Tribolium castaneum: one gene and its partner. The protein of the gene in region 2 binds, or shares a complex with, the protein of the main gene of each other region. Links are inferred from orthologs where the notes say so. Each region holds a gene or a part of one and is shown on either strand. Other genes may lie near its edges.

Evidence for each region. The genes of interacting proteins can lie anywhere in the genome.
Region 1: Ciao1 (region 2) and galla-1 share a complex: the UniProt entries of both Homo sapiens proteins name them as parts of the CIA complex. The link is inferred for Tribolium castaneum from reciprocal best matches to the Homo sapiens genes CIAO1 and CIAO2A.

What each region holds. Positions count from the first base shown.
Region 1 is NC_087396.1:14,611,854-14,614,758, forward strand, and holds galla-1 (MIP18 family protein galla-1), read left to right. Parts: upstream 1-1,085; 5' UTR 1,086-1,230; coding exon 1,231-1,264; intron 1,265-1,355; coding exon 1,356-1,421; intron 1,422-1,473; coding exon 1,474-1,553; intron 1,554-1,603; coding exon 1,604-1,787; intron 1,788-1,832; coding exon 1,833-1,930; 3' UTR 1,931-1,943; exon of another isoform or gene 1,944-1,998; intron 1,999-2,027; 3' UTR 2,028-2,311; downstream 2,312-2,905. UniProt on the Homo sapiens protein: Component of the cytosolic iron-sulfur protein assembly (CIA) complex, a multiprotein complex that mediates the incorporation of iron-sulfur cluster into extramitochondrial Fe/S proteins.
Region 2 is NC_087395.1:25,661,398-25,664,343, reverse strand, and holds Ciao1 (probable cytosolic iron-sulfur protein assembly protein Ciao1), read left to right. Parts: upstream 1-1,037; 5' UTR 1,038-1,183; coding exon 1,184-1,816; intron 1,817-1,862; coding exon 1,863-2,384; 3' UTR 2,385-2,398; downstream 2,399-2,946. Other genes in the region: pkaap (A-kinase anchor protein 10, mitochondrial), read right to left, coding at 1-647, 691-774, 827-854. UniProt on the Homo sapiens protein: Key component of the cytosolic iron-sulfur protein assembly (CIA) complex, a multiprotein complex that mediates the incorporation of iron-sulfur cluster into extramitochondrial Fe/S proteins.

The sequences.
Region 1 (2,905 bases), on a different chromosome or scaffold from region 2:
ATCTGATGCTCACCAGAGTTTCAAATTAATACTACAATCAAACCAGACACAAGCAATAATAAGATTTCATGAGATATATCGTCAAATATACACACACAAACAACGCAGCAACAAATCAGTAACATATTTTCTAACAAGAAATAAAGTGGACACGATCTTTGCCATTTACTTGACAATCCAGTTTATCTAGTCTCAAGTTTTTACTAGAATGTGTATTCAAAGTTATATTTTACAGACACAGACCTCGTAGAATTTTGGAATCACCCGGTAGAAAATAGTTCAAAAATGGTGGATGCGCCGGGCTATTTGTTCAATTTTCTAGCACAATCACTGTTACTTTTTGATTATTTTGTTGTTCCAATTTTAGAGTAGTATCACCTAGTACTGGGCCTAGTACTACTAGTAAAATTTCCAAATTGTTTACTATGCACAGTCTGTAGTAAATTTGTAGCCTTTATTGAAAAATAAGACTGAAAATAATAGGACTCATGCATAAAATTGTAATTTTAATAAAAGATTTGCAAAGTTGCGAAAGGTAATAAAAGTTACATTGAGAATATGGACACGCTTATCATTCCCCGTGAATCGTCCTGCAACAACCACTTTAGATTCGAAAGGATTCCATTAGGAGAGTTTAGGCAACCAAATCTACAAATTGAATTGAACTGAAAGACACTTATTATTGTGAACTTATAAATATTTTTTATTTATAATAATCATATGGGTACGATCTCAGGTATCATCAACACAAAAATATTCTTGTAACCAACTAATATTAATCAACAATTAAAATGTCGACTCAATCTGTTACGGTAAATTTCCATTGAGGTATTTTTCTTATTCCAAAAAACTTGTGATGAATAATTAAATTAAAAAATTAAAAAATACTATTATATTTAATTTATTTATGTGTATTTATAAAATACGAGTATATTGCCAATTTGGTGTCACAACACCTTTAAAATTTCTGCAAGTCATTGCTTTATATGGATTCACCTAATTATAGAATTCTGTTCGGAAATGAAAGCCCCACAACCCACAACAATTAACTATTACGTGCACAATCAAAACCTTTCGAACTTGGGTTATCATTACAAGAGCTTCAACTTGAGATAATTTTTAAATCTGGCAATCAGTAACAAAATGACCTCACACGACGCCGGACAATTTTCTCAACAAAAGCCTTGAATTTTTTTAACTTCCTTTAACAGTTTTCCAAATAAGCACAAAATGCCTGACCTTCTGGAGCTGGTGGAATTTGAAGGTTAGAACAGCTGATCAATTACCATTACTCGTTACATGAGTTATTTGTAAAAATTACATAATGTTTTTATCATTTTTCCGGAAAAAAACAGATAGTCCACGCAAGGAAGTCAAGGAGGTGAGTGAAGATGATAGTGAATTGAAATATACAGTTTATGGTGAGTGCTTGAGCCTGATTTTAGTAAAAATTTAATTTAGGGGTTGTTTTAGATTTAATTCGCACTATAAAGGACCCAGAGAAACCCAACACTTTGGAAGAATTAAACGTAGTTTATGAGGAGGGAGTTGAGGTGATTTGTTCCTTTTTTTTTGATAAATTGCTGAGTTTATGGTATTTGAGGTTAAGGAACGTACTTCTGGCAATGTTAGCGTTGTGAGGGTTGAATTTAATCCCACTGTGCCCCACTGTTCTTTAGCAACGCTAATTGGATTGTGTATTAGGATAAAATTAGAAAGATGTATTCCTTATAGGATTAAATTAGATATTTATATCAAGGCAGGAGCCCACACAACTGAACACGAAAGTAGGTCAAGTTTAAAGGCATTTCGTCAATAACATCTTTTTTTAGTCAATAAGCAAATTAACGATAAAGAGAGAATAGCAGCCGCAATGGAAAATCCAAACTTGCGGGAAATGGTAGAAAACTGTATTGTTGAAGAAGACTGAACTTTGTATCCAGGTATTTAAGCCGAAATGTTATTTACTATTTTATTAGAATTACATATTATATCGTATTTATAAAGTTTTTCCTTGCTCCTTTCAGTACAAAATGAGACTCTAGCTTCAAGCTCTCAGAAAATTGTTCTGGAAAATTTCCCAAAAATGTTTCCTGGTTTCGATGTTTCACTGTTGAAAATCACGGTGACGCAGCATTTCGCATATTTTTTTTCAAGACTCATTCTATTTTTGAAACAGCGTCTCATCGCTGTTTTGTGATTAATAAAAAATCTATTTGGGGGTTTCACAAAACATGAGTAACAGATATCACACTTGGGTTTATTTCAGAATAGAAAAAATACATAAGTAAAATATAAATATCTTGTCTCATCCCTATCTCTATTATGCACCATCTTGATTTGATAATTTACAAATTACACCTAAAAATCATAAGGAAGTCACTTAGACATTACAGAAAAGGTTAGGTTGCAAACAAATCTAATCCTCGTGCCGTTTCTATAAATTTTCTAAACGTCCTTATTGCTATTTTCAATCGGCTTTATAAATAAATAATACTATAACCGCCAAATTTTCGCTTAAATGTTAAAATTTTCTTTAAAAACACTTGTTTCCAAAAGCTCAATCAAGCAATTATTTGTTGCTTCACTCGCCAAAATTTCATAATTTTGGTTTGAAATGTTAATGTTATTATCAGTGTCCAGTTGTAGCAGTCTTTGCCTTTTGTAACCTAAACATAGAAAAGCCACGAGGTTAGACACAAATTGAAGGAACGGCACAATTTTGTACAAAAATAACAAAAAAGGAGACATACTAATAACGCCTCAAATAACAAGTACAATTAAAAATCTGATAAAAAATCCTAATTAGCAGTCTCAAAAAATAACACCAATTATTGGTAAATGACAAAAACAATTTGTTCGTTTGCTTAACAACTCTACAACTTAAAGCTAATAAAACAATCAG
Region 2 (2,946 bases):
GTAGAGCACAACAGCGTCATTTTGGGCCTCAATTGGGTCAAAAAACTCCTTTTGATTGGTCAAATGTTGCTGCAAGTTGGTGGCAGCGATCCAGAACTCCAACAAATTGCACGAATTCTCCTGTTCGAGAAACTCCATAAAGTAGAAAAGCGCCGTTTCGTTGTAGAGAATATCGTCAAGGGCCACTTGGCCACTCGTCAAAACATCGATCTGGTATTTGCAGAAATAATCGCTGGCTAAAAACGCCTCAAAATACTCCTTCTCCATGACTTCGGTAACGAAACTCTGAACGGGGTCCAAACAACTGGCGATTTTCTCCAAGTCACAAATGTTTTCAACGAGTTCGTTACGAACTGACTCGGGGCATTTAACATTGTGAGCGGACTCCTGAGCTATGTACTTTTTAAAAATCGCAACAGCGCCCTCAACTAGACTAGATTCACACGAATCACTCGAATTTTGGGTGTCACTGGAGTCGCAATCCGTACTTATCTCACACTTAAACGACTCAATGTCCCCCCAACAATTGATAAATTTGGCGGCGTTTCGCGCCTCCATAAACTGGGTAAAGTAGCCCAGAGCCCCCTTATCGCCCAAAACCTCGTCCAAGGTCCGACATAGCCGTGACCTCGTTGCCTCAAACTCATCTTTAAGACACAATAACCCCAATTTCTACAATTTCGTACTCACCGATATCGAGGTCCAGAGGGGGCGGCTTCGGGGGCCGGGGCCGCGGCGTCACCGCTGGGGCTGCGCATTTCGTGTCATTGCCGGCTTTGGAAACACTAATTAGGAAAACCCAAACATCAATTACGAAATTACGCACCTTTTGATTTCCTCCAAAACTGTAACATGGTTCATCGTAATGATGGGTTGTGGGGGCGGGGGCGAGTCCGATCAACCCAACAGTGCCAAGAGGCCCCAAAACACCCACAAAACCGATTGTTTTGATAAACAAAGTTGATTGTGATTCACGGCACAAAAAATGTAAACGTCAAATGAGGCTGGCCACACCGACGGCAAAAAAAAACAAAAATCGCACATTCAACCACGAAAAAAAAATTCAAAATTAAGCGAACAATTAATTTAGAAGAAACATAATTGATTTTGCACTTAAGTACGCAATTTTATTGGTAAATAATTGCAAAAAAACGCAATAATAATCATGCGTTGGCTGCATTGAATGACAGTGCGGCCAACTCAACGAAGCAAAAACGTAATAAAATCACCCATTTTTTCACGTTTTGTGGCATTGGTAAGCCCCTTAAGTACATTTGCCCCCTTTTGGCACGTCGTGCGTCCCCCGAGACCACTTTTTAACCACCCTGTCGTTGTTCGCGACCCTAACCCCAAAATGTCAAAGCTTGAGCCCCTTCAAACTTTATGCAAGCACACGGGGCGCGTTTGGGACGTGAGTTGGCACCCGAAGGGGCAAACGTTCGCCTCGTGTGGCGAAGACAAGACCATCCGAATCTGGTCGAAAGACTCGGACTCGAAGTGGTCGAATAAAGTAATTCTAACCGATGGCCACAAACGCACAATTCGGGAAATTGCGTGGTCCCCCTGTGGCAATTACCTCGCCTCGGCCTCCTTTGACACCACTACGTGCATTTGGGACAAGAAATCGGGCGAGTTCGAGTGCAATGCCACTCTTGAGGGGCACGAAAATGAGGTTAAGAGTGTTTCCTGGTCGAAGTCGGGGCGATTTTTGGCCACTTGTAGCCGTGACAAGTCGGTTTGGATTTGGGAGATTGCCGAGGAGGATGAGTATGATTGCGCGGCCGTGTTGAGTGCGCACACACAGGATGTGAAGAAAGTAGGTAGCAAGGGGGCGATTTTTGTTGTTATGGAGGTTGTTGCAGGTCGTGTGGCACCCACATGACGATATCCTCGCCTCGGCCTCCTACGACAACACGGTTAAGTTGTTCAAAGAGGACCAGTCAGACAACGACTGGGTTTGTTTTGCCACCTTACAGGGGCACGAGTCAACGGTTTGGAGCATAAGTTGGGACAAAACGGGGACAAGGATTGTGTCGTGTAGCGACGACGCCACGTTGAAAATCTGGCAAAAGGGCCAAAATACGGAGGAAACGTGGAAATGTGTGTGTACCATGTCGGGGTACCACAACAGAACCATCTATGACGTGTCTTGGAACCACTCAAGTGACTTGATCGCCACCGCTTGCGGTGACGACGCTATCAGAATTTTTAAAGAGGAGGAAGGGGGCGACTTAGAGGCCCCCACGTTTAGCCAAGTCACCTGCATTGAGAGGGCGCACGCCCAGGATGTCAACTGCGTCGCCTGGAACCCCCTTCTTAGTGATATTTTAGTGTCGTGCAGCGACGACGGGGAAATTAAATTGTGGAAATTTATCCCTGAATAAAATTGTTTGACGTTCCTTTGTTTTTCTTTGATGGATAGGCGGCTGTTTATGTCAATTGTTTACAATTGAACGTCACAGCCTACTGTCGCCCATCCATTGAGATTACTTTTTCGTTCCACAGATGTTAATAAGACGGTTGGCGGCCCTAAGTCGGATTAAAAATTACTACAGCACGGGCCCCCAAATGTCGGTCAAAGAAATCGTCAAAACTTTACAATCCTACGCCCCCTTGACCCTTGCCGAGAGCTGGGACAATGTGGGGCTCCTGGTGGACCCAATGACCGACAAACAGGTCAAAACAATTCTATTAACAAACGACCTCACTGAGGATGTGGTCAATGAAGCTAAAAACTTCCAAGCGGGGCTCATTATCTCCTATCACCCTAATATCTTTCAAGGCCTTAAAACAGTCTCTGACAAGTACGCCCCAAATTACACAGCCAATCAAAACTAATCGTTTTGTCACAGGACTTGGAAAGAACGAATCGTAATCCAATGTATTAGACATGAAATTGCGGTTTACTCGCCCCATACGAGCTGGGATTGTGTCGAAGGGGGCGTT